Pelodiscus sinensis: one gene and its partners. The protein of the gene in region 4 purifies or fractionates together with the protein of the main gene of each other region. This does not show direct contact. Links are inferred from orthologs where the notes say so. Each region holds a gene or a part of one and is shown on either strand. Other genes may lie near its edges.

Region 1 (7,472 bases), on a different chromosome or scaffold from region 4:
TACTTCCGGTGGATGGAGTCCCGGTAGAAGCGGAAGACGGCGTCGGCGGCTCGCTGGGCAGCGGCGATGCACCTCTGCAGCTGTGGGGAGCAGGGAGACGGCGTGAAGGGGCCCCCAGCGGGCCTGGAGCGCCACGCAGCCACGACGCAGCCACGAGCGTGTACACACGAAGTGACAGCCACGCACTACCCAGCAGCGTGCGCAGTCACAAGGGTGCCCTGGGAAGCCACGTGCTCGCACGGCAAGGCCTGCGTGCACCATCACAACACGCACTAGCGCACTGCCCATGCCCGGGGGGAGTCTCTGGGGCGCAGCTGGGCCGGGGGCCGAGGCCTCGCGTAGCAGGCTCCAGTCTGGCGCCTCTGGCGCTTGGAAAGCCGGGAGCAAAGGCAGAGGGACCCCTGCTCGGCCGGTCCAAGCCCCGCAGCGGGGGGTCCGAGCTGAGCCCCGCCCCGCCCCGCAGTCAACCCCCACAGCGGGGCACAGGCTGGCAAGCAGAGAGCCTCATTGGGATTCCAGGCAGGCAGGCGAGACGTCTCCTGACAAACCCGCTTGCCTGGGGCACTCAACACCAAACACATCATGCCCCTCGCGGCTCGGCCACGCGCCGGGAGCCCGCCGGCAGGAAGGGGTGGGGGCTGGAATACCAACCCCCTCTCCCTGCTGCCTCGGGGAGACACCAGGGCTGCCCGCCTAGCCCCCCCCGCCCAACCCACACCCGGCCCGATGGGCACCCCATGTCCCGGTCTCCAGCAGCCGCAGCCTCCTGGCCTGCCCCACTCCCCAGGCCCCCACTCACCTCCTCTACTGAGCAAGTCCCCTTGGTAGTGGACATGAGCACCCGCCTCTCCACGCTGCTGATGGCGAAGGTCAGCAGGGCTCGCGCCTCCTGCAGGGGGAGGGCAGAGTGAGCTGTCTGCCCACGCTGCTGGGGGCGGGTCCACCAGGCCAGGCCATTCCTGTGACCCTGGGCCACCAGGTCCCTCAGCTCCGGTCCCTGCCTGCTGCCCTCCCACCCACTGCGCACCGCACAGAGAGCCCCACCGGCCCAAAGCCCTCAAGTCTTCCCTCAGGGCTTTGCTATCAGACCCTGGCCCAATGCTGGAGACAACTGCCCTTGGGCTGTTAGCCAGGCAGCTGGCTCGCACCAATATCCAGCGGCAGGGAGTTCCACAGGTTGCACGAAATGAGATTAACTCAACTTTACTACATCAGCTCCCAGTGTTGCCACCCCGCACTGGGCCTACGTTTCCCCTATTTCTGACTCGCTGTCACCTGCTGCACTAACCACTAGATCCCGCTGCGGCTCAACTCGAGCCCCGCACAGTGCCAGGTGCGGCACAGACCCCCTCCCCCCCGCCATCAGGCCCCCGTTATGCTGCAGGTTGCCATTAGTCCCACAGGACCCTGCAGCGCCAACCCGGCCTGGCCACCTCACACCCACTTTCTCCTGCTTGGCCGTAGGGTCGAGGCTGAGGGCTCCATCAGCATCCAGGGCGCATGTGACCCCGCAGAAGAGCGACTTCATGGGCAGGCCGGCATCCATCAGCCCCATGCAGGCCGCGTTCAGGCAGCAGGCCAGCAGCTGGCACCAGGTCAAGGGAAAGGCTGGCAGCCGCCGAGACAATCACCACCGACCCCCAGAGGCAGGACTCAGGCCTCAGAACCACCTGAGACCATGGCCCGTCGGGCCGGGCGCCCCCCAGGCCCCGGCCGAGATCAGGGCCCGTCGGGCCGGGCGCCCCCAGCCGAGACCAGGGCCGGGCGCCCACAGACCCCGACCGAGACCAGGGCCCGTCGGGCCGGGCGCCCCCCAGGCCCTAGCCGAGATCAGAGCACTGGGCTCTGTAGGGTCTGGAGGATGGGCAGGGGGCTAGGGGCTGACTTGGAAAGGAGAGTGGGGGCTAGTGGTTTCTGTCCCTGGCTCTGGCACAGACTAGTGTGACCCTGAGTAAGCCCCCCCCCGCGCGCAGAAACCCCCCCCCCCCCACGAGGATATTGCTGGTGGAAAGGCCACGCCAGGCCCCAGGAGGCGCAGGGCCGCATGCCCTTCCTGCCAGCGCTAATCCCTCCCCGGGGACTTGGCTGAGTGAAGAGAGAGCTGCCCCGGGCAGGCCAAATTAAGTCATCACTCCTGCCTCCATCAGTCTGAGCCAGCCGCCTCCGCCAGCCGCTAATCCCTGCGCCCGGCTACCCCCCCGAGACTCTGTCACTTAGCACCCACATCACGCACCACAACTCAATGCCTCCAGTGCCGGAACGGCTGCTGCACCCACTCCACAGCCCTGCCCAGCCCCGCTTCATGCCAGTTCCTCCGTGCTCGCCCACAACGGGCTGGGCTGCGGGTGAGAGCGAGGGGGAGGGCAGGGACTGCGGGTTGAGAGTGAGGGGAACTGGCAGGCCTGGGCTGGCAGGGGCTGCAGGTGGGGAGCAAGGGGCACCGGCTGGGCTGGGGGCACCTGGGGCTCCCATTCCCTCTTCCCAGTGCCCTGCTTCCCAGGGTCTGCCAGGAAGCCCCATCTGGGCACGGGCCAGAGAGCAAACCCACCCCTAGCAGCCACTGCCACAGCGCGGCCACCACTAGGGGTACCACGGGTTGTTCCATTGGGCGCAGCTGCAGCGAGCGGTGCAGGGGCCTGGACAGCCACAGAGCCGAGCCCTTAGGAACAGGGCCCGCAGGACGCACGCTCGCTCCCTGTCCCACACTGAGCAAGGCAGCCGGGCCTCCCCCAGCTGCCAGGGAGCACCCCCTGCGGACGCCCCTCCCTTCCCTGCGGCAGCCTGGGAGGTCCCCGCTGCCCCCTTAGGCTGCGAACGGCAGCAGCTCTGTCCTTCCTGCCCCTGCCCGCCACCCCCAGCCTGCCAGGGAGGGGCAGACGCACGCTGAGCTGCCTGGCCTAGGAGGCTGGGATCAGCCAGGGAGCAGGCTGTCCAGCAACTCCAGCCTGGGCGGGACCCCGGGGTCAGGGACGGCGAGCCAAAGCCCCTGGGTGTGCAGGGCGGCAGCTCCCACCCAATGGGGGGGGGATGGAAGAGCAAGCGGGCAAAGCGCCCCCCGGCACACGCCGGGCAGCGCCCCCTGCTGCCTGGGAAGGATACAGAGCCGGCGTCACTGACCACCTGCAGCACGATGGTAACGGAGGTTCGGGGGTGCAGGGTGCCCAGGATAACGGCCTCACACGTCCTCCTGATCAGTTGCTCCCGGCTCTTCTCAAAGACGCCTGGGGAAGGACAGGGGGGCGGGCTGACAGCGAGCCGGACCCGCCCCCCGCAGCCACCTGTGCACTGCCCCTGAAACCCAGCCCGCGACCCCGGCATACCAGGCACTGCCCCCACGCCCGTCCATGCAGACCAGGCCCCTCGTCCCCACAACCGACCCGCCCACCCAAGGTCAGCAGACCCTGAACGCGCCAGACAGACAGACGGACCTGCCCCCGGCTTGGGACAGAACCGCTCAGCGAGCTGCAGGCTGCTTTGTCAGTCCCGCTGCACGGCCGTCCTACAAGCTCCTATTATTGTAGGGTGCCCTGTAAACATGCAGCTGCCAGAACCAGGGACTTGGTTTTAAAGCCCCCCCCCCCAGCCCCGCGGCCGCTGCTTACCCGGGAGCCCCACTTTGGGTTTGAGCAGCACTTCCAGCGTGGCCTGGTCGTACAGCTCCCTGCTGCCCTTCACCTCCGCCGGGCCGTACAGACCGGCCAGCACCGACGTGTCTCCTGGGGGGGGGGGGCGGGTCAGACTCGGCCCCGCTCCCCGCGTCGGGGCGGGACTGGAAACCCGGAGGGGCCCGGGGGGGGGGGGGCCGACCTACGGGTGGGGGGGGCCCCGAGGCGAGGAGCCGGAGAACAGGGAGCCGGGGGGGGGGGGGGGGGGGAGCAGCTCCGGGCCGCAGGCAGGTGGGGGCGGTTTAGAGGGGGCCGGAAGTGAGGGTCCATGAGCAGAAGCGGGGGCCAGAAGCAGGGGTCCCCGGCCGGAAGTGGGGGGGGCCGGGCAAGAAGCGGGGGGTCCCCGAGCGGAAGCGGGGGGCCGGGCAAGAAGGGGGGCCGGAAGTGGGGGTCCCGGGCCGGAAGCGGGGGGGGCGGGCAAGAAGGGGGGCCGGAAGTGGGGGTCCCGGGCCGGAAGCGGGGGGGGCGGGCAAGAAGGGGGGCCGGAAGTGGGGGTCCCGGGCCGGAAGCGGGGGGGGCCGTAAGTGGGGGTCCCCGGCCGGAAGCGGGGTCCCGGCTCACCCTGCAGGAAGGCGGCGGAGCCGTCGGGGCGGCCGAGCGGGCCCAGCTCGCAGGAGAAGGGGCGCAGGGCGCAGCCCCCCGGCTCGGAGCCCATCGCGACTGCGGGCACCGCCCCCTCTGCACGCGGAACGCGGCCCCACCTACCGACCCCACTTCCGCTTCCGGGGCGGGCGGGGAGCCCCGTTTCCATAGCGACGGGCGCGCTACGGGGAGGGGGGTTGCCAGGGTGACGCGCAGACGGACGGCGCGGGGAGGCGGGATCACGGTTGCCATGGCGAGGGGGGCGGGGCTCCAGGCGGCCCCGCCTTCGCAGCAAGATGGCGGCGGGCTGGGGGCTGCGGCGGGGCCTGGGGCGGCTGCTGCGGGGGGCCCGGGGCCTGGGCGCCGCCGTGAGTGCGGGGGGGGGGGGGTGAGCGTCGGTGCTGCCCGCGGGGGGGCTCCGCGCCCCGTGCCTCAGTTTCCCCGCGGGGCGGGGCTCGGGGTCCCTGCCCCCCCCCCCCCCCGGGCCGGGATCCCCCAGCAGAGGCCGGTTTGGGCGGGGGCGCAGGAAAGGCCCCCCCCCCCCTACTCCCCCCCCCCCCCGCGCGGGCCCGGCCTTGAGCCGCCGCCGCAAGGACGCGGCGCCCGCCCCGGCCCCACGCGCCGATCACGCGCCGGCCCCGCGGGGGGGGCAGCCTCTTGCTGGCTGCACGGGGAAGAGGAAAGGGGGGCGCTGGTGCCCCCCCCTCTGTACCCCATCTCCGCAGAGGGGCAGGGTGGGGAGGGGCGCCCTGGGTCGCGGTGCCCAGCTGGAGGCTGCGTTCGGAACCCTCCTGCTCCCCAAATCTGCCCCCAGAGGGAGGGGTGAGCAGGGGCGGGAAGGGGGCGGGGCCGGGGTGGATCCTGGATTGCACTTCAGTTCCCACAGGGATCTCCCCCGTAAATCGGCTGGTGACCCCCCGGCTTTGAGTCCCCCCCCCCCCCGGCTCTCTTCGCTCGCAGGGCACCTTGGCCATACGCTCGCGGGGCCTCAGGCTGGGTGTCCCGCGGCGCAGACACGTGGGGGGAGAAGTGTCGGAGGCAGTGCCCCCCCCATCTCACCTGGTCCCTGTTGCCCCCCAGCACGCACGCCGGCAGCAGCAGGAGTTCACCTCCCTGGAGGAGAAGCCGCAGTTCCCTGGCGCCTCGGCCGACTTTGTGGACAAGCTGGATTTTATCCAGCCCAACGTGATCTCGGGGATCCCCATCTACCGGGTCATGGACCGGCAGGGGCAGATCATCAACCCGGATGCTGATCCCCAGGTGGGAGCGAGGTGCTGCAGGGAGCCAGCCCTGGTCTCCCCGTCTCCTGCAGGCGGTTCCTGCCGTCCCCCTGGGGCACCTCGTCTGTCCCCTCCCACCCACACACACCCCATCTTCCCAGCCCCCCGCTTCTGTCCTGCCACCTGGTCTGACCCAGCCTGGCCGCTCTGATGCTCCTTGCAGCCTCTCTCCCATTGGCTGCTTTCAGCCCCTTTCCTGACGGGGGCGGGGGCACACCGGGCTGCCTGGCTGGCGAGGGCATGGGACCCGAGCGCCACTCGGCTGCTTGGGCTTTTCTCGGCCCCGAGTCACCCTGAGATCAGAGCCCTGGGGGGCAGCGCCACCACCCGGCCCCTCCTGCGCTGACCTGCGGCTCCTCGCCCCTCCTGCCCCAGCTCTCCCAGGAGCAGGTGCTGAAGTTCTACAAGACCATGACGCTGCTCAACACGATGGACCGGATCCTCTACGAGTCGCAGAGGCAGGTGCGGCTGCTGGGGGGCAGCACGGGGCGGGCAGGGGAGGCCGGGAGGGGCTTTGGGGCTGGTTCCTGGGCACCCTGCGATTTGCTTCCGTGGTGTTGGATTTTAGGGTGATTAGCTCACCACAGGGGTAATTTCCCACAGTACAGGGCTGAGCACCAGGACTCCAGATTGTCTCCCAGCTTGGGGAGGGCAGTGGGGGCTAGTGGTTAGAGCAGAGGGGGGCTGGGCACCAGGACTCTGGGTTGTCTGCCAGTTTGGGGAGGGCAGTGGGGGCTCGTGGTTAGAGCAGAGGGGAGATGGGCACCAGGACTCTGGGTTGTTTCCCCGCTTGGAGAGGGCAGTGGGGGATAGTGGTTAGAGCGGGGTGGAGGGGGCAGGCGGGCACCAGGACTCTGGGGTTCTCTCCCAGCTCTGGGGGGAGGAAGGGGGAGGGGTCTGTGACTAGCTAAAATCACAGCAGTCCCCTTGGGGTTGTCCCGTGCTGCACTGACCGTGCCACTAAACTGGCCTTCCCGCCCACTGACGCCTTGTTGAAATGGAGCCGCGCTTCGTCCACCTCCCTCCCCGACAGGAATGAGGCATGGCCAGGCGGGGGTTGCACATTCAAACTGTAACTGTAAAATCAGCAGCTTACACGGCCTCTTTTGCATCAAGCATCTACGAATTCTGCACATTCATAGTCAAAAGCCAGTTCTCACACCGCATGGGAGGGTGGTGCGGAGTCTAGTGGTTAATGCCGGACCCCTGAGTTGTTCCCAGCTCTGGGAGGGGAGTGGTGTCTAGTGGTTAGAGCAGAGTTGATTCCTGGGTTCTGTTCCTGTCTGCTCCTCTGTGCATGTCCTCAAGACACAGACCTGGCCCATGCCTCAGTTTCCCCACAGTGGTGAGGATACTGGTCCAGTCCCCAGTTAATTCTTTGTTCCTTTTCCAGGGCAGGATCTCCTTCTACATGACCAACTACGGGGAGGAAGGGACTCACGTGGGCAGTGCCGCAGCGCTCGACGACACGGACCTGGTGTTCGGGCAGTACCGGGAAGCAGGTGCTGGCTGATTGCGGGGGGTGACCCCCACGGCCACCTCGCCCGCACGTCCATGCAGTGCTCACTGGGGGCAGCGCACACGCGCCCGAGCTGTCCCTCCAGGGAAGGCTGGGCTAAAGCCAAGCCACTTCTCAGCCCCTTCTGCCGTGGGACGTGCCTCTGAGTCCCAGGCCCCCGCGGGAGAGCCAACCCCGCGCCCATGGGGGCTCGCTGGATGCCCCGGGGCCTCCCCGTAACCCGGCTGCGGTTCTGTGCCCCAGGCGTGCTGATGTATCGGGGCTACCCCCTGGACCTGTTCATGGCCCAGTGCTACGGCAACGCCAGCGACACCGGCAAAGGGCGCCAGATGCCCGTGCACTACGGCTGCCGAGACCGGCACTTCGTCACCATCTCGTCCCCGCTGGCCACGCAGATCCCACAAGGTGAGGCCCCCGGCGCCCCTC
Region 2 (7,246 bases), on a different chromosome or scaffold from region 4:
CAGTCCCCGACTTACGCGGATCCGACATACGTCGGATCCGCACTTACGAACGGAGCTTTCTCGCCCCGGAAGTCGGGGCGAGAAAGCCCCGTTCGTAAGCTGCTCCGGTGCCCCTGGTCTGCTGGAGACCGTCTCCAGCAGACCATGGGCACCGGGCGGGTTCCCGCGCTTCTGAGGCTTTGCCAGAGCAAAGCCTCAGAAGCGCGGGAACCACTGCTGCTGCCCCTTGAGACCTGGTGCCTGTGGTCTGCTGGGGACGGTCCCCAGCAGACCACAGGCACCCGGACTGAAGCCGCAGCCGCGGGGGGTCCCGCGCCTCTGAGGCTTTGCCAGAGCAAAGCCTCAGAGGCGCGGCACCCTGCTGCCACTGTGGCTCTGCTCCCCGTGTCCCTGGTCTGCTGGGGGGGGGGGGGGGCGCAGCTAGTGTGCTCCCCCCCCCCCCAGCAGACAAGGCTTTTGTTTTGGACTCTGGGGCAGAGCAGCTGGGGCGCTGCCGATTGGTCCTGCAGCGCCCGTGGGCACTACTGGACCAACCCGGCAGCACCCCAGCTGCTCTGCCCCAGGTCCTGATTCAGCCGCTGCTGGTCAGTTTCAGCAGCGGCTGAATCAGGACGTCTGGGGCAGAGCAGATGGGGTGCTGCTGGGTTGGTCCAGTAGCACCCCAGCTGCTCTGCCCCAGGCGTCCCCAAGTCAGCTTCTGCTGAAACTGACCAGCGCTGACTACAGGAAGCCCGAGGCAGAGTTGCTCTGCCCCGGGCTTCCTGGAATCAGCTGCTGATCAGTTTCAGCAGCAGCTGACTTGGGGACGCCTGGGGTTCTTAAGTTGATTCTGTATGTAAGTCAGAACTGGCGGTCAGTTTCAGCAGTGTCTGAATCTGGAGGCCAGTTCTGACTTACATACAGATTCAACTTAAGAACAAACCTAGTCCCTATCTTGTACGTAACCCGGGGACTGCCTGTAGCTGTCCAGCTGCTACTGTGAAACTAGCAGTATAGTCTGATGACATATTCCCTTAAGGCTTTGTTACCATTATGTACTCAGAGCTATCATTTAAGACCATATAAAAGGTTCAATTAGCAGAGAATGCAACTTCTCTCTTCCTATGTGGGATAGATGGAAAAGCACATTTGCTCCTATCTTTGCACTGGCTGGTAGTTGGGAAGGTACAATTCAAGATGTTGATCTGTACAAACCTGAATTAAAGTTCTGGGAACAAGTTGAAAGAGATCACCTCTTGCCTTCTATCTAGTCATGTCAATCCAATGCAAATGGATAAAAGAGCCTCTTATCTAAACAGTTTTCCTCCAATATGAAAAGCAGGTAACCCGATTAGTTCAACTAATACGACAACATGCAGAAACAAAAAGTTGCAGTGTTCAAAATGCTTTGACAATTAAAGCGTGTTGAATATTGTCTAAAAAATGGGTGATTGCAAAACAGTCTATTGAGAATGATCACAAAAATCCTTCATTACAACACATTAAATGAATCCCAAATGAGGGAAAAAGTGGTAACTCTGTGACTTGATGGAAGTGGATATAATTGTTTATAGTGGATATAACTATATAGCTGATGAGACACTGTTGGGACAAAAATAATATGCACTTCTCTCACAAAACAGGATATTCATTTTAAATGGATTTTCACCTGGAAAATATCATACTTTCATTTTTGTGAAGTTTCACACAACAGCAACCATATCATCCCACATCAACATGCTTCAATAAAAGTTATAATATAGACAACTACAAATACGGAGCATCATTTTGCAAAAACATTTTTAATTGATGAGATTACAATGTTTATTAAAAGCAGGATGCTTAAACACCTTGAACAAAAGGCTCCTTGTTCTAGATCTGGAGCTACAAACTCAATGTGGTTGTAATGCAGACATAGGGACCATATTAAAGAGATATAGAGTAAGTGTGCCTTGGTGTGGCTTGGACATACCTAAGATACAGGAATGTATTAGTACAGGAAGATAATTGACATCTGCATGGGGTAAACTAATGCAACGAGACGGAAGAATGCAAGGGTTATCCAAAAAGGGTAAAGCTAGCTGGCTTATGAGAACGTATATTTGAAGCATGAATTTCCTTGTAGTGGTGTTTGTTTATTGAAGGGATATGAAATGGTAAGGGAATACTTATACTGGGGTATCTGGGCTGAGAGGTTATGAGGTGAGGTGGAGTCCACATGAGGATGCCTATGGTGGAGGGCTCTGGCATGGGGGCAGCAATGAGGTGTCTGGGACAAGAGCTATGGCAAGAGACAGGTCAGCACAGGGGAGTCTGTGACGTAGGCTATGGCACAGGGATGGGTCCCCCACGGGTGTCTGTCTGGGACGGGAGTCTGGGTGTCGGGGATCGGTTTGCACTGAAGTGACTAGGAATCTGGGATGTTGAGGACAGGTCTAGGGTTGCCAGATGTTTGATTTTGAACCAGGCAGTCCAGTATTTGAGCTTTCTGTTCAGGAAACAAATTGAGACAATATAAATGTCTGGTATTTTCTAAATAAGATGCAACGTGGATTGTGATGTAATGTCAAGTGTGTCTGGTATTTTTGTTGAAACCATCTGGCAACCCTGGACAGGTCTGCACGGAAGGGTCTGGGACAGGGCACTAGGGCGTCTAGGCGAGGCACTCTGCCGTGTTAGGACAGGGCAGGTCTGCACTGAGGTATCTGTGGCAGGGGCTCTGGGCTGGGGACGCGCCCGCACTGGCGCTCCGCAGAGAGGGGAACTGAGGCAGAGATCTGCAGGGTCTCTCTACCAGGGTCGCTCCCCCACCCGGGGCAGCACCTCCCCGACGGGCCCACACACCCGAGAAGGCGGAGGTGCACGCGCTGCCTGCCCCTGACAAGGCACTCCGCCCCCTTACCAGGCGCCCCGCAGTCCGCGAGCAGCTCCTCAGCGCCCTCACAGTCGCCATCTTAATCGGGAAAGAGAGGGAGCCCCTCACGCCCCCCACACCTCCCACCTGTCAACCAATCAGAGGACAGCGTCAGACAACAGCCAATCAGAGGGTAGAGGACTAGCCCACGCCCCCCTCATTAAAGGAGCCAGTCGGTTGATGCACGGAGTGACAAGGTCTTGGGGTACCACTTTGTTTGGGCGCGCGGAGCTTTGTGACTAGGGCGTTCCCCAAAGGTTATAGTGCAGGGGCCGGGAGTCCCGGGAGACTGGCACTGCAAAACAGGGGGCGGAGGAAGGCACCATCGGCAGCTTCAAAGCGATCCCGTCTTACCCACGTGAATTCACGAAGCTTTACTAAGGTTCACCTGTGCCAGAGTCTCCATGCGTATGCTCGTACCACCACCAAAGGTGGCCCCGCCTTCCTTGGTGTCGGAAATGATTCTTTCCTATTCCTATATAGCAAAGACACAAACGACAGGCCGGGGGATGAAATGCATTACAGCCCTCAGTCTTCATCAGTGATGATTGCACTGATTGAAACACCTGTAAGGATGCTGTCCATGCACACAGTTAACGAACTTGGGGGAAGGAGGAATGATGGGTTTTCTTTGATTTGTCAGTTATACGGGTTTTAATGACTTAACCTACAGATATAAAAATTCAGTCAGACTGAAATATGACTGTAAAATGGAATTTTCCTTTTAAATTTAATAATGAACATTAAAAGATTATCAAATAAAGTTTGCATGTCTCACTCTTCATTTTAGTTCTAACTTTGTGACATTTTATTCATATTTTTACTTAACTCAATATTCTCAGAACAGAGCCTTACAAATCTGCAGATATCTGAGGATCACTTTTGCAGATCATAGATTGGATGCAGAAACAAAATTTGTATCTGCACAGGGCTAAATCTTTCAGCTTTCACAGTAACTGAAAATACACACATGCTATCAAAACTGTCTGTATCTACACAGTAAGGAATTGTCCACATTTAGGTTCCTAATGTGGATGCAGTTATTGGTGTAAATGTGTTTATGACTACATAGTTTATTCCTGTAGAGGAAGGAGAATAAGCCATACCAGTAGATGCACTTTTACTCCAGTATAACTGCATTCAAGCTGCAGATTATACTAATATAACTATACATTTAAAAAACATACACAACCCCAAACATAATTCACTGGGATAAAATCTGTAAGAAATATATCCCTTTATTTTATGCCCCTTTTTTGTTTTGTTTATGTTGACATATTGCACTCATCTTCTGTGCAGCTATTATAATAATGTTTGGACATTACCAGTCCACACCAACTGTTTAATGATTACTTTATTGTAAAAGAAAATGCTCCTTGAAGTCCTGCAGTGTCTACAATTAAAGATCTGCAGCACTGGAAATCAAGCATTCTCTTTTTTAATATTGTAAGCAAGTACGTTGTTATCTAGACGCTTACTCTCATTAGTGGCACGCAAGCTACATTTTAGAATTCAATTCCTCCTCTGTGGTCTCGACTCCCAGAATGTAAAAACTCCTTACAGTCCATTAAAGTTCTGCTACAGAGTTCCCCTGCAGCAGAAACAAACATTCTCATGAAACATAAGCCTGCTTTCAGACAGTAAAGCACATAGCTGCTTAAAAGCTGTTAGAATATGGCCGATGATATATTCTCTGCTGCTCTTCTCCGCGCCTCTAGGAATAGGTTTTGCAGGAGGATGGAAGGGTCAGTAAGGAAGCACAGGTGAAATGTGCTGCTAACGCGGAAATGTAAACAAAGGGAAGTGATCTCAGTTCCCACTGACGGTCAGAGGTGCCAGCGTGAGAGGGAGCTTTGCGTGTCGCAGGAGAGGAGCCAAGATCTGGGCGCTATTCCTCCCCCCCTCCCCCAGCTTCTCTCGCGGGAGGGACTGGAGCGGGCTGGACGCGAGGGAGAGTCGGGCCGGGTCAATCCGTTCTCCGAGCTGCAAAGCCGCAGGGGCGAGGGGGCCCGGCGCTGCAGCTGTCAGCCAGCCAGTGGCGTTTCAGCGCTGGCGTCAGCCTAGTCCGCCGCTACCTCCGGGGCCGGCTGCTGCGTCTTGACTCTCCCCAGCCACGTGTTACCGGCTCCAGCTCCAGCTCCGGCCTAGCGAGACTGTTCCGCCGCGGCCTCGCTCTGTGCAGAGCCCAGCCAACTCCCCGTCGCCTGGGCCGCGCCTTTCCGTGGAGGCGCCGCGGCTCCCTGTCGCCCATGGACGGAGACAGGGTGGAGATAGATGGCGGGGTCATGGAGGGGGTGAGTCCAAGCCCGGCCCGGCCTTCCTGATGAAGCATCCGCGCTGGGCACCTCGGGGCGGGCCCGGCCCGGCGAGGGAGCATGAATGCCGGGCTGGGCTCCGGCCTTAGCTGGCTCCCTGAGGAGATTCAGTGTGTGCTGGGGGGACGCTGGCCTGGATCCCTGGCTGGCGGGTGGAGGAGAAGGGGCTGGATTTGGACCCCTGCTGGGAAGGGAGATGGGGATTGTTAGCTTGGCTTGGGGGCCTTGTAGAGGAGGGGGATGGAGGAAGAGCCCTGGCCCAGCCATCCCTGCCCTGTGCTCCGTGGGGCCGCTGACCACCTGCCTCCTGTTCACAGGGTGGCCAGATCTTGCGAGTCTCCACGGCCTTGAGCTGCCTGCTGGGGCTTCCCTTGCGTGTGCGGAGGATCCGAGCTGGGAGGAGCCAGCCTGGCCTCAGGTAAGCTTCCCCCAGTGACCCAGAACTGAGAGATGTCTCCTTGAAACGTGTTTGGGAAAAACTGTGCGTAAAGCTCTGAGGGGTGGCAGGAAAACATCCCTTTCTGGTAGAGCTGGTCCTAACCAATGGGCAGCCTCAGGACACTTCTTGTAGGGATGCCAGATGGCTTAAAAAAATACTGGACTAAAATTTGTCAAGCAAAAAAAAGGGGGATCAGGGACGATTTAGTAGCCCGCCCCTAAGATCAGCTCTGTCAGCAGCCCCTTGAAAATGACAGCCCCTGGCAACCTCCCGCTCGCCTCTAAGGCAGCTCTGCTCTCTAGCACACCTGGCATTGGCTCAGATGCCTTCTGTGTTATTGTGACACTAATGTAATTCCAGCTCAGATAGCAGTGCTGGCTGTGCTAAACTTAGGCAGGGCATGAGCATTTTTACTATAAATTAAAATTCTCAAATCTGGGACTCTCTGGTCTGGCAACATCCGTGGTCCGGCAGCGCCATAGATGCTGCTGAACCAAAGAGCCCCAGAGGAAGCAGGAGCAACGCAGGGGCTGGGAAGCCCTGGGTGGGCCAGGCAGCATCGAGGTGGGGGGGGACAAGCAGTATTTGGGGAGCCCTTGCCCTGGCTGGGATCCTGGTGTTAGCCGGGCCAGACAGCAGCCAGGGAACTCCTGGCCCAGCTGGGGAATCCCCAACATTAGCAGGCCCAGGTGAACAGGGATTCCCAGCCCCAGCTGGGAAACCTGTGTCTGCAGCAGAGCTGCCTGTGGTCATTCAGCGCTGGCCAGGAGTTCTGGCAAATCCCTGGTGGCAGTGGGGCTAGGGTGCCTGGGCCTAAAGTGGGCCTGGTGGAGGCAGGTGGCTGGAATCCCCAGCGGCAATGGGGCTAACCCTAGCAGCTGGGTCGGGCAGCCAGGCGCCCTGGCTAGGGAACCTCCAGGGAACACCCTGCGGCAGCAGGGCCAGCAACATCCAAGTGGTCTCCACCAGGAACCACGGGAGACCCTGGAGCAGCAGGTGGGCAGCTGAGTGGGGAGCCGTGCCGGGCTAGTGTTAGGGGGGCCAGTGGCAGGGCAGGGAGCCCCCAGGAGAAGAGCTCAGGAGTGGGGAAGCCAGCAAGGGAGCACTGACATCTCCTGGTCCAGCAAACTCCTTCATCTGGGACAGCTCATGTCCCAGGGGTGCGAGACCAGGGAGGTCCAACCTGTACCACATTACCTAACACTACCTATATTGAGGTTTCCAGGGCCCAATACTGAAAACACCATCAGGCTCTAGCCAGATTATACTCGTATTCCTTCCTTTTCACTAGAACTACACGATTGCTCCTGCAATATTAAGAGATTTTTAGCAAAAGATCGAAGCAGATAAGGGCTTTGTGTCAGGAAAGGATACTGGACTGAACTCCTGAAACTCTGTAAAGACCTAACCTGCTTACTGTTGTACTTCATGTAAATGTATTAGCCTCAAATATATACTTTACATCACCAGTATTTTGTCATGGAAAGAGTATTTGAATTTGCATCACCCAGGAGAGCATCTGTCCCCATGACCCTCCACTTGGGTCTAGCTGCTTGATTCCCTTTCCTGTCAGGTACCCTGACAGTAACACTATATTAG
Region 3 (7,176 bases), on a different chromosome or scaffold from region 4:
TGCAGTACCTAAAAGGTTCCATTTAACTCCTTCAAAAAGGGAACTAAATTGCACCTTTTGTATCTGAGCTCTGAATATAGCTGAAGAGAAAGCAGTAGAAATTTTGTTTTTAAATCTATTGTGCAATGGCAGCATCAACATCAGTATCACAGTTCACACTTACCATCTCCTACGAAAACAAATTCATACTGCATGTCTGGTGTGATTTAAAAACAAATCAAAAGTTTTCTATCCATCTAATGAATTGTTTCACACAATAAAAGGCTTCCTCACAGTGGCCCTTCCATTAGATCCTCCTACATATCAACCTGAGGTTTATTTATTCATAGATTGACCTAGATCCTGATTTTGCTGTACAGGCAGTCCCCGGGTTACGTACAAGATAGGGACTGTAGGTTTGTTCTTAAGTTGAATCTGTATGTAAGTCGGAACTGGCATCCAGATTCAGCCGCTGCTGAAACTGATCAGCAGCTGACTACAGGAAGCCTGAGGCAGAGTTGCTCTGCCCCGGGCTTCCTGGAATCAGCCGCTGATCAGTTTCATCAGGCTGAATCTGGACGCCAGTTCTTACATACAGATTCAACTTAAGAACCCCAGGCGTCCCCAAGTCAGCTGCTGCTGAAACTGATCAGCTACTGATTCCAGGAAGCCCGGGGCAGAGCAACTCTGCCTCGGGCTTCCTGTAGTCAGTGCTGGTGAGTTTCAGCAGCGGCTGACTTGGGGACGCCTGGGGCAGAGCAGCTTGGGTGCTGCTGGGTTGCTCCAGTAGCGCTGCTCCTCGGCGCTACTGGACCAACCCAGGAGCACCCAAGCTGCTCTGCCCCAGGCGTCCTGATTCAGCCACTGCTGAAACTGACCAGCAGTGGCTGAATGAGGACACCTGGGGCACTGCCGGGTTGGTCCCGTAGCACCCAGAGCGGCGCTACGGGACCAACCGGCAGCACCCCAGCTGCTGTACTACAGGCGTCTGGAGAAAAGCCGCGGAGCACGGGGGCAGCGGGACAGCCCAGACGCGCCACGGCTGTCCTGCTGCACACGTGCTCCGCGGTTTTGCTCCCCGTCTCCCTGGTCTGCTGGTCTCCAGCAGACCAGCATGATGGGGAGCAAAGCCTCGGAGGACGCCGGCAGCGGGACAGCTGCGGCACGTCTGGGCTGTCCCGCTGCCGGCGTCCTCCGAGGCTTTGCTTCCCATCTCCCTGGTCTGCTGGTTTCCAGCAGACCAGGGGGACGCAGAGCAAACCCCGTTCTTAACTGCGGATCTGACGTAAGTCGGATCCGCGTAACTCGGGGACTGCCTGTATCCTAAGTGTCCTTCTCTCTTATTGACTGCAAGGAAGGCTGAGGGCAGAAAGAGCTAAAACCAAGGTAACCAACCAAATGACCCCTTTTCAGAGCAGCAAAGAAATTCATATGGAAGAAGGGCTTATTCTACAGAAAATGGGTACATGCCAGGACAGCTGAACATTAAAAGTATGGGAACTCATTAGAAATACTACGCCAAGACACTGAGCTAAATCCATAGTATTCATTTTCAGCATACCTGCAGATACTGAAAACTATACCGAGGCAGCTCCACAGGTCCCCCTGCAGATAGGCCCAGCCTGGCCCTCCTGCCACAAGTTACACTTTAGCTCCTCAGGAGCAGGGCCATCAGCCCTTACTCTCTCAGGTAGGAAGCTTTGGTGTGGGTTCTGCAGTATAAAATGTATTTAAGCTTTATACAGCAGAGCCTACAACATGTAACCATTAAGATTTTTAGTGGTTACACAGTTACCTTTTTAAAGGAATTTTTACATCCCTAGTGTACAGGGGCCATCCCTGGATAAGGGCTGTTCAGCAAAGACCCCCACAGAGCCATGGGCTCATCTTCCTCCTTACAGCCCTTTCTGGAGGTTTCTGCTCCACTGCACAAGAATCCTGCTCCTGTCCTTCAGGTGTCTCCGGCACTTCAGCCTTACAACAAGCGCCTTACAGCCCTTCAGTCAGCACTGCCCCAGCTGCAACCCCAACACCAACCCCTAACATCCAATAACTATCAAAATAAGACTTGGCAAAAAAAATTAAGAATCAGGAATACAAAAAAGAAAAAAATTCTGCCAAGACTTGTTTATAGCAGAACCAATAAGAGATAAGGTAGCTAACTGCACTGAAGTCTCACATTAAGCTGTTCAACAAAAAAAAAAAGTCTCTATGCCTTTTAAATTATTGTTTTCCCCTTCTGTTGATCAGTGTTGGCTTCTGAAGTTAAAATGCAATTGTGTCACACTTCTACACTGTCTGACACAGAGAAAACAAGTTTTAACTCAAAAGTAGCAATGAAGCGGTTAACCCTTCTACCTTGTGACTCATTCCGGATCCTGGTGGCCCAACACCAAATCATGCCACCTGCTTTCAACTCTAGGTCAGTTCAGGTGAGCGAGTGACTCTTCCAGCGCCACAAACTCGTGCCGGTCTGTCACAACAAAACAACGAGGCTCGGAAGCAGCCCGGCAGCAGGAAAGGAGGGTGGGGGGGGGGGGAACGCTCAGCCCTCTCCTCCCCCACCCCAAAAGGCAGTTCCCGCACCAATCGGCTGCTTCGGGCAGGGGGCACCCGCGGGGAACTCAGCGCCCGACCCCAGCGGGATCCGCCTCCCCGCGCCGGCGGTGCAGCGGGTGGGCAGGGGCGCGGCTCCCCGCTACGACTCCTCGGACAAGCGGCCGCAGAGCAGCAAGCGCTGCGCCGGGCGCCCGATGCCCCCCGCCGGCCGCTCTCCGAGGCAGGGCGCCAGGCTGAGCCCCGCTCTCACCGTGCGCGCTGGGCTCGGCGTCCGGCTGGAACGTGAAATGCGCCACGTGCCGCCGCGGCCCGGGCGCCAAAGGGAGCAGCCGGCCCCACACGCCGGCCCGCAGCGGCCCCGACCCAGAGGCGAGTCCCGCCGCCCGACGCAGCCACAGCCCGGTCGCCGCCATCTCCCCGCGGGTCACGACTCAGGAAGCAGGTGTGACAGCAACAGCACGTTGTAACGAGGCGGGGTGTGAGTAGGGATTTGCTATTGGCCCGCAGGGCGACGGAGAACGGACCAATCAGAAGCCGCGATGCTGTGGGCGTGGGAGAGGAGTCTCTATTGCGCACGCGTACAAGGAAGGCGGGCGAGCCTAGACTCGGCGGGGTGGGGAAAGAGGGAAGCGGGAGGAGCGAAGCTGTGAGTGGGCGGGGCTAGACTGCCTTGGCTTAGAGCTGGGCTGTTCAACTGCACCGCGAACACACGGGTCGCGTGTTGAGTAGCCCTGATTTAGAGGCAGAGCGTGCGCCCAGGCGGGGCCGGCCTCAGGCAGGCGAGGTTGGGGCGGGCCGGCGGGAGGCCAGCTGGGGAATGCGTAGAAAAGGGATGTGGAAAAATCCATGCAAGATAGGTAACTCCAGCTTGCATAGTTGGAGTCCAGGTACCGTGCATCGATTTTTCCAGAGTGGTTCCACAGCGGGAGATGGATGGAAGAAACTCTCCCATCAGCTTCCCTAACTCCTTGCAAGTTGAGACAGGATTAAAAACGTTAACAGAGGCACCCAGTGTTCAATTGAGGGATCTTTACTAGATTGATTGCAGGAGCGTGGATCCTTCAGTAAGTGGAGTTTCAGTCTGCGGTATTTGGACTTTAGTCTACCTTGAGTGCAACAACAGATTCCAGAATTTTTCTGATGCCATTATAAATATGGGAGCCCTATGCAGAAGTCCTAGCTGGAAATGAATGTTAAATACCCTCAGGCTGTAGAGTTACTCATCTCCAGAGTCTTGGTTGAGGTTCACTCCTAATTGTAAGACTAAACTTTACTGCACTGGGAGAATGGTCGGATGATCCTCACAGTGCTTAGCCATATGATCCCCGTCTTTTGTCCCTAACCATAAGTAGTACCAAATTTAGAACAAGGAAGATTACTAAAATACAAAAGATAACTCATCTGAAGAAATGGGTTGTGCCCATGAAAGCTCGTGATAACATCTACAAATTTTGATAGTCTCTAAGGCGCAGATTTGTTACTTAAGTTTTTTGATAATTTAGTTGTCAGAGTAAAGAAGGCACAGAAAATTATTACTAGCACCCCATTAAAGGAACATTACTCAAATGCAACATTCATGAATATATAGAATCATAGAATATTAGAACTAGAAGGGACCTCAAGAGGCCATCAAGTCCAGTCCCCTACCCTCATGGCAGGACCAAAGCACCATCTAGATCAGGCATGTCAAACAGGCATCTGGAGGGCCGCATGCGGCCCGATAGAAGTTTTTTGTGGCCCTCCACTACATTTTATAAAAGAATAAAGTGCGGCACACTGGACACTCGGAGCACGTGGCTGAGTGCGATCAGAGCTGTCTGGCCGCTCTGGGCACTGCGCCGCAGCAATTGCTCACTGCCAGCTGGGCCACTCCGCCCACAGCGCCCAGCACATGTGCACAGCGCTGAGCATATGCTCACGACCAGCTGGGCCACTCTGTGCTCAGTCCTGCCATGAGGGCAGGGGTCTGATCTCAATGTCTTCTTGAGGTCCCTTCCAATTCTATGATTCTATCCAGCATTTGCTGGTAATGAGGGAACTGAAATTTAAATCTTTTAATGGAACAAAAATCTCACCATATACTCTTGGTTTTTATATGCAACATTACTAGCTAAGTTAAGGTTGCCTGACCTTCCCCATTATAAAGCTCTGTTTAAAGACTGACAAGGCCATAAGAAACAAACCATTTGAGCTTGTACTCAGGCTGAATTATTTATTTAGAAAATTCCAGCAAAAACTCTGCTGCTTCCAAAAGGATTGCAAAACAATGTATTTTTCACTATGTTTAAAAAAGAGCCTGACCATCTTTTCTTTGAAAAACTCTTATGCACATGCCTACACCATAGGGGGCTGTTTAGAGTTGGTGGGATTTCTCACTGTAATTGCTGCTGTGGCACCAGAACTGAAAGCTGGAAGTCCCACTCCTCTGTTTTCTCAGTGCTCTACCAGTTAGCTCTCAGGAAACATAGAACAGGAAGAAGCCTGACTCAAATGCTGAGAGAAATGCCAGATGCAGTGCAGTAGGCAGTGATAAAGGAAACAGATTGCAACATTGAGCTTGAGATTTGGGTGCACAGGATGGATGAGAAACCATGGAAATGAGTAGGAAGATAAGGACCAGCTGGAGAAGAAGCCTGTGAGGGAGAGATTGGGATGAGGATTCTAAAGAGGGAAACTGGGATTAATAGAAGGAGCCTGGAGGAGGAAAGTGGGTCTTGGCTTTGGATAAAGAACCTGGAGGGATAGATCCTGGGACTGGCACGATTGAGTGTCCTTATGAAAATATAGTAGGTGATCAGAGAATTGAGTACTAATACCTTGCAAACAGTTGGGAAATTAAAGTTTCCAAGTATCCTTAATATGGTAGTTCCTAATTTTTGAGTGTTTGACTTTGCAACTTTACTGAAGTAGCCAACCTGATTAATAAAGCATCTCACCTAATTTCCTAGATTTTCAAATACATTGAAAAAAAATCCAGCAAGCAGTTATTTCTTTATGTGAATTAGCTAGCTTCCTCTGACTCCCTCCACAATTTAGGAGACAAACACCATAAAAATATAGAAGGGTGAAAAGCAACAAAGAACAGTTTGATGGTTTTAATTCACGGTAGCTGATTAAGCTTCTTCTTGGAACCTCTTCAATCCTCCTTTTTTCCTCATCTTGATCAGCAGTTCTATCCTATATTGAAAAGGGGAAAAAAACCCAGAGAGAAAGGAAAAACTCTGAAAAGATTCCTGATTTTTTTTAAAGCAACGCCACTAGGTAGTTATATGAAAACTTCTTCAAGTCATAAGAGTTCCAGTACTACTAGCTTACATATAATCTTTCAGTGTCCAAAGCCCCCTCTTTACAATAAGTGTATTTTCACACTAAAGAGAAGTAAAGAAAAATGTAATTAGAGGCTGGATTCTGCTTTCATTACAAACAGTGCCAAGTCCAATAACATTATTCTGGATTTTCTCGAGTGTCATTAAACACAGTTAACTCTGATCTTAAACTCCAGTTCAGGTGAACATTTAAACACATACTTATATCTCATTGAGTTAAATGAAACATCAGTACAGGCTTAAGTGGTTTCCTAAATCAGGTTACATTGTAAAGTCTTTGGGTTGGGGACTGTCTTACCAGGTCTACACATAGACTAAACACACAGCAGGGCTCCACCACAATACAAATAATATTTTTTCTATTAATAGTCTGAGTAAAACCAGAAAGTTAGGATGTTACTTTTGATAATGTTGGCATGAGTTTAAAAGTTATAAAACAATAAAAAGAGGGCACTGTAAAAATGGAGCACTAAAAGTAAACCAAGTGTGGTTACTGATCTGACTATGCTAGTGTGGGATACAGGCAGTGAATGAATAAAAAGTGGAATTTACTTTAAAATAAATATATAGTTTATAGAGCATCAGATAAAAATAATAAAAGTTAACAGTAGGTTTTTTTAAAATGGGGGGAAAGGTTCATTATGACAAGTTATTTATGTGAAGAGATTGTACAAGATTGCATCATGACTACTAACAGCTGAGCATTAAGAGTTGAAAAATTAAGAAAACAAGTTTTAATGAAACATAATATATGCATTGATGAGCAAAATTATAAAGTTGTCAGCGTCAAGTAGTTTTGCAGTAGGGGTTGAAAATTCCATAAACAGTGAGGTTGTGTCTACATTGGCACGATCTTGCCGTTCTAATGTGTGAAATCAGTGCTTCTTGCACAAGAATTATGATGTTCCCACTCAGGAATAAGCCCTCTTGTGCAACTGTTCTTGTGCAAGAGGCCAGTGTAGACAGGCAACATGAATTTCTTGTGCAAGAAAGCCCGATGGTTAAAATAGCCATCGGAGCTTTCTTGCGCAAGAGAGCATCTACACTGGCACGGATGCTCTTGCGCAAAAGCACATCTCTTGCGCAAAGGCACATGCCAGTGTCGACGCTCTCTTGCGCAAATACTTTAACGCTAGAACTCTTGCATTAAAGAGTATTTGCTCAAGATCATGCCAATGTAGACATAGCCCAAAAGAAGATGGAGGAAAATTCAATGTGAATCACGCAGATTACCCTTGGTTTAAGCCTATAATTTGACTATTAAAATAGTTGAGCCATACAAAAGTACACCTGAGAATTAAGACCTACTACA
Region 4 (7,975 bases):
CCGGATTACGCTGGCTGCCCCCGCCCCCAGGGACTATAGAATATTCAAGTAATGGATAAGAATTCATGGGGTTACTCAACTATTCAGTTACCCGATATCTAGAAGTGGATTACTACTGTACCAGAGTTTGTTTTCCAGAGTTCCAAGTGTTGATTTATGTTATTGAAACTCAAGTCCTTCTGAGATGCTTGCTCTTCTAAACCTGATTAAGGATGTTAGATATCGGGTAACTGATACAGAGGCAGCATCACAGGGTGGCAGCAGTCCCTGTCCGGGAGGTGTCCGTGCTCCCTGCGGACAGAGGCTGCTGAGGAGAGTGAGTTAATGGTATTAGAGGTGATAATTGGGGAAGCTATCTTTGTAATGGGTAAGGTAGTTGGGGTCTTTGTTCAGCCCCCTGCAGAGTGTCGAATTTTAGCATGAATGCCAGTTCAGAGGATTCCCTTTCAAGTGCAGATTTGAATGTCTTCTGAAGTAGGATGCAGGTGAGTAGGTCATTGAGACAGTGTCCTTTCTGGTTGAAATGGCAAGAAACTGTTACTCTCCGCAGGGGGCTGAACAAAGACCCCAACTACCTTACCCATTACAAAGATAGCTTCCCCAATTATCACCTCTAATACCATTAACTCACAGACATCTACCCTTCCCCACCTCTAATATCATTAACTCACAGACATTCACCTTTCTTCCCCCCCCCCCTCCGCATTCGCCTTCTGTTCTGAAATGTGATTTGTCCTTTTCATGTGTGTTCATTTTTTTTAATTGTATCCTTTGGTATATATGGTTGTGACTATTTTCTTCCACTATTTGATCTGAGGAAGTGGGTCTGGCCCACGAAAGCTCATCATCTAATAAACCATCTTGTTAGTCTTTAAAGTGCTACATAGTCCTGTATTTTGTTTCAGCTACACCAGACTATCACGGCTACATTTCTATCACTATTCTAAATCCTTTTATGGTTCTGAACTCAGAGAAAACCTGCATAAAAGAGATATTATGTTGCATAAATCAAGAGGGAAATTATGCCACGAGAACAGGGATTACCAGAGAGGCAATATCTACATAGACAGACTCTAAAACGTATGGCTGTGTCTACACTGGCACGATCTTGCACCAAAGCGGCTGCTCTTGCGCAAAAACTTGCTGCCTGTCTACACTGGCCATGTGTTCTTGCGCAAGTAAACTGACGTTCTACTGTATAAAATCAGGGCTTCTTGCACAAGAACTATGATGTTCCCACTCAGGAAGAAGCCCTTTTGCGCAACTGTTCTTGTGCAAGAGGCAAGTGTAGACAGGCAACATGAATTTCTTGCTCAAGAAAGCCCTACGGTTAAAACAGCCATCAGAGCTTTCTTGCACAAGAGAGCCTCTACACTGGCATGGACGCTCTTGTGCAAAAGCAGACGCCAGTGTAGATGCTCTCTTCTGGAAGAGCAGTGTAGACTGCTTCTTCTTGCACAAAAGCCTCATTAAGTATGCAAATAACACATGGCAATATTCATCGCTGCACCTCATTTGCATATGTTCTTGTGCAAGAGCACAATGTAGACATATCCTTAGTGTTTACATAAAATTGGAAAGCTATGAGAATTACAGTAATAAAAATAACTCTTCTTCCTAGCATGCAGCATGCTTGTCTTCAAGGAAGGAAACAAATGAGAGGAAAGTAGGTTTCATTTCCCTTTCCCCTGTTAATACCAGTCTAGAAAAGCCAAAAACTTTCTAAAAATTCAAAATTTCTCTCCTTTTGCTGCCCTTATCAAAACCCATTTTGCACCATGCTTTTCTCAAGTAGTGCACTCAGCAATCACTTTTTGGTAAATGACTAATCTAAGAGCAGATACCCATGGCAGGAGCCAACTTCTGCAGGCACAGAAACTACTTAGGTTAGAAACAAGAATTTACAATCTGCTTCCGCTGACTCAATAGTGCGTCCTCGTTAAATCGTGTTACCCCTTCGCTGGGGGCTAAACCAAATATTATTCTTATATTTCAGCATCAATTAATTGATTTTATACTAGGGCTCGTCCAAGGTTTTCCAAGTCTTGAATTGTTCTGACTGGGAGCACAGAGAGTGGCAAGGGATTGCTAGTGCAAGCAACCCACAAGTAAACAGCACGGTGGGTGGGACTCGGGAACTGGGTACTGACTTGTGACACGCACTGGGCAGGGGAGGCTGCTTTGGTTACCTGACCTACACTGGAAGGGTAGCAAAGGCACAAGCCCCAAGGGCAAGGCTCTAAGGAAAGCACTGGCAGCTGCAAGGCTCGCGCTCACTACACGCAGCAGCCCCACCCCCAGCCCAGCTGCCAGCGCCTTGCTGCGGGAAGGCGGAACGCGCCCCCATCCTGCAATTCCCCCTCCCAATTACTATCCGGGTTGTTTGTGAGACTAAGGAGCCCTCCGGGCCGCGGTCTAAAACCCGCAGGGCTCTACCCTGCGCCGAATCCGCCATCGCTCCTGCCCTGCTGTGCTGCAGGGCAGCGCCATTTGCCTCAGCAGCTACCGAGATAAGGAGCCCACCGGCCCGTCACTCCCAAGCGATCGCCTCCCTGAAGAGCAACTCTCAGCGGCGCGGTGCCTCCAACACGCCACCGAGGGGACAGGCGACTAGAGCCGGGAAAGTGTCACCGGATTAAAACGGGGCCGTCCGTTCCGCAGGGAGCGTTGTGCGCGCCTGCGGAGTCACCGCAGCCAGGTGCATTTCCCCACAAAATGGGGGAATCCCGACTGATTTTTAAGCACACAAAAATGCGGGTCAAGAGCGGCAGAGCTCATGCCCGTGCAGACGTGGCTGGGTGGTGTGGCAGGACGAAGAACTCGGAGCCAGCAGCCAGGCGGCTCCGAGACACAGCGGAGGGGCAGGCTCAGCGCCGCTCTTACCTGGGTGAGAGCCCGTTAAAGGGAAAGGCTGTTTCGCCCTTTCGTTCCAGCGCACGCAAGGGAGCGGGCGTGTTCTCCGCCAGCCACCCGGCGCGAGCGAGCGAGCGATCCCCCTGCCGCGGCCGTCCGGGCGAAATTCTAGAACCTTTTATTGCAAGTGCCTCCGCAAAGGAGGAAACCCGACTCCCCGTCAAGCTGGCAGCTCCCTTAGCCAATAGACCAGGGATGGGGCAGGAACGCATCCGCCCCCATTTCTCTGCAAGGGCCAATGGCATCTGAGAACTCGAACGAGCCTCCTTCCCGCTCCCCTGGCCCGGGACCCAGCCTTGCTCTCGAGGCAGTGAGTGGCTTGCTGATCCTCCCACGTCTCGTTGGATTGAAACCGCTGTGAAGGGAAGGGAGCGCGAGGGGGGAGAGCGGGATTAGGTTTAGTTTCATGGCATGGCAATGAAGTGACAGCATTCCTATCCCTGGGAGAGCAGTGATAGAAATGTAGCCGTGTTAGTCTGTTCTAGCTGAAACAAAATGCAGGACTATGTAGCACTTTAAAGACTAACAAGATGGTTTATTAGATGATGAGCTTTCGTGGGCCAGACCCACTTCCTCAGATCAAATAGTGGAAGAAAATAGTCACAACCATATATACCAAAGGATACAATTAAAAAAAATGAACATATGAAAAGGACAAATCACATTTCAGAACAGAAGAGGGATGTGTGGGGGGGGGGGGAAGGAAGGTGAATGTCTGTGAGTTAATGATATTAGAGGTGGGGAAGGGTAAATGTGATTTGTCCTTTTCATATTTGTTCATTTTTTTAAATTGTATCCTTTGGTATATATGGTTGTGACTATTTTCTTCCACTATTTGATCTGAGGAAGTGGGTCTGGCCCACGAAAGCTCATCACCTAATAAACCATCTTGTTAGTCTTTAAAGTGCTACATAGTCCTGTCTTTTGTTCCTGGGAGAGTAGTTTTCTTTCCCACTTCTGGCCCCAACGGACTAGTGAAGGGTTAAGTGTAAGGCTCTGAAGTTGAGTGCATCGGGAATTGTATCAGGCTGGAGAGGAGACCAGTGGAAGATTAAATTGTTCTTTGTGCAGTGGCTAAAAGCTAGGCCATGGGGCAGAGGGGAGCCCCAACAACATGCTGCTGCCCCAGTTTTCAACCTCAGCACTAGCCTCACTCAGACCTGCCCTGATGCGCCTCCCCTTGTGTTTTGTGCTGGGGCCAGAGACTGAAGTAGCAGTGCACAGTGCTGCTGGCAGGAGAGCATGGTGGCAGGGCTGGCAGATACTGAGCTGGGGTTGAGTCTGCATGTAAGTGAGTGGGCCATGGCTCACTCAGGCCCACCCACAGCTACACCCCTGTGGTAACTTGATCTCCGTTACTTCTGTAAAAGCTGTAAAAACCATTTTCATATTTAGCTAAAAGCCATCTTATATATCAAAAACCATTTCAGCTTTTCTCTCAAGCACGTAAACCAAAGTAAACTTTCTGTCACCCCGTAAAAAAAGGCCTACAAAATAAACTATTGGTATGTGTTAATTGGGCTGGTTGAAACAAAAAATGTACTCCCTCGCACCTGTCCGCCATCTTATTAATAAGGCTTTGTTTTTCCAAATTTAATTAAAAATTTCTGTAATTAAATGCCCTAATGTCAAACTGTTTGGTTAAGGGTATAAAAATACTAAAATTAATTGTATTAGCAGCTTTACTGGGTCTGGCTCTGCTGTAACCACGTTTGGCTCATGCTGTGCTTTATTAATTAATAAAGCTGCTTGTTAGCTGCCTAAACACAAAAAAGCGTGTTTTTGCTTCGACACTTCCAACTGACCTATGTAACTATGTTTAAAGGTAGGATCTGATGTAAGTACACCAAAGAAAATATAGGTGCACTAGTTAAATCTAGCCCATTTTGTGTTAAATTTCTGGAGAAGAGTAATAAAACATCATAAGACACACGTGACAATAGATTAAAACAATAGAGCCTTAAAGAGGTTTCTATCTATAAAGATCTTGGCCATATATGTGTACATGCAAAGTCATCACAATGCAATTGTTCTCCTTTTTCAGAGTTACCCACAAGTATCATCTTCTTTTGCAATGCCAGCTTTACTCTCTGCTCTGAATCTGACATGAATGTCAGATGACCCTCTTCCAAATCCTGAAATGTACAGCTAAATAGGCTTAGCATCAGCCATGGAATCAGCACTTTCATCATAACAATAAGTCTTTGCTACTAAATGTATTTACTTCTGGTTTCCAAGTGGCAGAAATTCAGGCAAAGAGTCTTCTAATAGAATCCATTCCCATGGTCTTCCTGTAAAACAAGAGTTAAACAGCCATAGCAATAGCCAAGATACATCAGAATGTTATGTGGTTTCCTGAAGATACACACCCTTGTCAGCATTCAGAATTGAATCCATGCTGGTAAATCTTCTAGAATAATCAAAAACAACGAGGAGTCCTGTGGCATCTTATAGACTAACAGATTTATTGGAGCATAAGCTTTCGTGGGCAAAGACCCACTTCATCAGACCCACATGCATCTGACGAAGTGGGTCCTTGCCCACGAAAGCTTATGCTCCAGTAAATGTTAGTCTATAAGGTGCCACAGGACTTCTCGTTGTTTTTGCAGATTCAGACTATCATGGCTACCCCTCTGATACTTCTAGAATAATGAAACTCTCTGTTCTTACAACTTATTTCCATGGTTCTAGCATTCACTGAATCGATGGGTAAATAACACAAAGAAAATAACCCCTCTACGGAAACTACTTAATATGGGATCCTAAAACCTGGAATTTTTCCTGACAGGAGCGTTCCTCTTTGAAATATATCAAAGTGGTGTAGTGATGAAAAACAAGGGGTTAAATTTCAAAGCAAAGATTGTTGTTATTGGTATTACAATAGCAGGTAGGGCAACAACTGACACTGGTGCACTTTTGTACTCAGCGTCAGATTTAGGGCGGGGCGGCTGTCCCGGGCCCCGCGCTTCCTGAGGCCCCGCGCATGCGCCGTGTCAAAGAAGGGGCCCCGCAAAATTTCGCTGCCCTGGGCCCCGCGGTGCTGCTCTGGGCCCCGCGGCACTCTCATCCGCCCCTGTTTGTACTAGGCATTGTAAAAACAAATACTGAAAGACAGTCCCTGCCCTTACCTGTTCACAGTCTAAATCTCTGATCCAGTTAATAATATGCTTAACCCTAAGCTAAATAGTCCCACTGACCTAAACAGACAAAAAGTAGAAGAGGAAATGCAGGCACAGTAACTTACAATAGTCACATAGCAGTTCACTGGCAGATCTGGAAAGAAAACTCTCCATCTAGGACCTTATCCACACTTACTCCATTAGTAGCGTTTTAACTGTCTTAAGTTGAAATTCTCTCTAAACCTTGTCTGTTGCTGTAAAAGCAGCATATATTAATGCTGTGCTAAATTACAGCATCAGTTAATGTAGATGAAATACAATAGACCAGATTCTGATTTAAGTGAGGCCTTTGTAAATCAGGAGTAACCTGACTTCAATGGAGTTACTACAGATTTACCCAGGTGACTCTGAGTTCAAAATGTGGAATTAAATCTACTGAGAGAAATTATAAACACTATTTTAAAAGTTAATTTACCATTGTAAGAATTGTATTTTAGCTGACAGCTAAAATCTTCAGGCAGTTGTAATTCAATGGTAGGAAATTATTCTTTTAATAATATGTGGTGAATATTTTAAAACAGGCTCTTAAAATGTATCCATAGCAGCTGCTCTTCATCAATTTGTTAGAGAGCATTATTCAATACTAAGCATTAATTAAGCAATTTTTGGGACAATCTGTGTTATATACAGTCCTTTAAAATAGTCCCATCCCTCTTTAGACCATGTCTTGTTTGCAATCTGCAAATCTGCTCCCTCTGCTTTCAGTTCCAAACCTGAAGATAAATCACTGAGTAGAGATGATTGTAATGCATGGAACGAAAGATCAACGCCTGCCAGATTTCTTTCCATACAAACAAGCATGCACCTCCCTCTTATGAAACAGTATGCAGATGGGTGTAGGCACTGACTTGGGATTGCTATTGGTCAACTTCTCAGCCAATGGCTGCAAAGAAAATAACATTTTTTTTCTTCTCATTTATATACCCTGGGAAAGAACATGCTTGTGATCTATAGTTACTGTTCAAAGCTGTATCATATACAGCTCTTAAATGAGCATAATTCACACGTTTTTCTGAATAGTAATTTTACCTTTGACTCTGTGTGCTGTGCTTTTTACATTTGTATTTCCCCATCTATTGGCTTCTTGTTTACCAGCTATTTGAGGCTGGTGTGAGGTTTAACAAGGAAATACAGGTTGTGGTGTCTTCATTCATTATGTGTATACTACCCAGGCTTGTGTTTCTGTCTCATCCAAGAGACGTTTCCAGGGCATGGATGAGAGCAAGCTCTCTGAGGCTCAGTAACAGAGGGAATAGTGGTGGCTTGTGGAAAGGAACTGAAAGACATAGGAGCAGAGAATTGTATCTGCCTTTGTGAATAAGGGCCTTTGTATCCTGTTTGTTACTCACTTTGGGATTCAATTCAATCCCCAACTGTGACTGGGTAATTGTGGGGCAGGCTTTTCATCTACATCTGACTAGAACGAAGCTTTTTCTTTCTGATGTAGATTTTTCCTCTCCGGGACAGGCATAAGAATCTTGCGCAAAACGGGGGTTTTGCACACAAAAAAAAGTCCACACTGATTCTTTTTGTGCAAAAACCCCTTGCACAAAAAGAAACACCAGGGCGGGAGCTTCAGGTTGGGAAGGGCAGCCTTTTGGTTTGTGATGCATCCCTGGGACTGAATAAGACGCTGCCCTTGACTCCCTGCCCCCACACAAACTCTTGGGCCCGGAGGAGAAGAGGCTATGGAACTTGGGAAAGAGGGAACATTGGTCCACAAGGGCCAGAGGAGGTGCCAGTCCAGGATGGAGTCCTGGAGTGCCACAATCTGGTCCATCACATCCACCATGAATGCCAGCATTCTCTCTTGGTGCCTCACTTCCCATTGCCTGCAGGGTATCCTTTCCTCATGCTCCGTGCACATCTCTTCCAGCAGTGTA

What was found.
Region 1: the proteins of PPM1K (region 4) and BCKDHA purify together in Homo sapiens (affinity purification with mass spectrometry; 4 studies listed by BioGRID and IntAct, counting the BioPlex papers as one, with this or other methods). This does not show direct contact. The link is inferred for Pelodiscus sinensis from reciprocal best matches to the Homo sapiens genes PPM1K and BCKDHA.
Region 2: the proteins of PPM1K (region 4) and DBT purify together in Homo sapiens (affinity purification with mass spectrometry; 4 studies listed by BioGRID and IntAct, counting the BioPlex papers as one, with this or other methods). This does not show direct contact. The link is inferred for Pelodiscus sinensis from reciprocal best matches to the Homo sapiens genes PPM1K and DBT.
Region 3: the proteins of PPM1K (region 4) and BCKDHB purify together in Homo sapiens (affinity purification with mass spectrometry; 3 studies listed by BioGRID and IntAct, counting the BioPlex papers as one, with this or other methods). This does not show direct contact. The link is inferred for Pelodiscus sinensis from reciprocal best matches to the Homo sapiens genes PPM1K and BCKDHB.

The regions. Positions count from the first base shown.
Region 1 is NW_027465992.1:100,896-108,367, forward strand, and holds the start of BCKDHA (2-oxoisovalerate dehydrogenase subunit alpha, mitochondrial), read left to right. Parts: upstream 1-4,461; 5' UTR 4,462-4,543; coding exon 4,544-4,615; intron 4,616-5,327; coding exon 5,328-5,507; intron 5,508-5,902; coding exon 5,903-5,989; intron 5,990-6,920; coding exon 6,921-7,029; intron 7,030-7,289; coding exon 7,290-7,451; intron 7,452-7,472. Other genes in the region: EXOSC5 (exosome complex component RRP46), read right to left, coding at 1-80, 800-889, 1,445-1,585, 3,100-3,221, 3,603-3,716, 4,227-4,416. UniProt on the Homo sapiens protein: Together with BCKDHB forms the heterotetrameric E1 subunit of the mitochondrial branched-chain alpha-ketoacid dehydrogenase (BCKD) complex.
Region 2 is NC_134719.1:39,208,257-39,215,502, forward strand, and holds the start of DBT (lipoamide acyltransferase component of branched-chain alpha-keto acid dehydrogenase complex, mitochondrial), read right to left. Parts: upstream 3,025-7,246; 5' UTR 2,933-3,024; coding exon 2,882-2,932; intron 1-2,881. Other genes in the region: RTCA (RNA 3'-terminal phosphate cyclase), read left to right, coding at 5,143-5,187, 5,526-5,626. UniProt on the Homo sapiens protein: The branched-chain alpha-keto dehydrogenase complex catalyzes the overall conversion of alpha-keto acids to acyl-CoA and CO(2).
Region 3 is NC_134713.1:58,163,967-58,171,142, reverse strand, and holds the start of BCKDHB (2-oxoisovalerate dehydrogenase subunit beta, mitochondrial), read right to left. Parts: upstream 3,011-7,176; 5' UTR 2,952-3,010; coding exon 2,789-2,951; intron 2,453-2,788; exon of another isoform or gene 2,381-2,452; coding exon of another isoform or gene 2,338-2,380; intron 1-2,337. UniProt on the Homo sapiens protein: Together with BCKDHA forms the heterotetrameric E1 subunit of the mitochondrial branched-chain alpha-ketoacid dehydrogenase (BCKD) complex.
Region 4 is NC_134715.1:15,139,482-15,147,456, forward strand, and holds the start of PPM1K (protein phosphatase Mn(2+)-dependent 1K), read right to left. Parts: upstream 3,047-7,975; 5' UTR 2,884-3,046; intron 1-2,883. UniProt on the Homo sapiens protein: Serine/threonine-protein phosphatase component of macronutrients metabolism.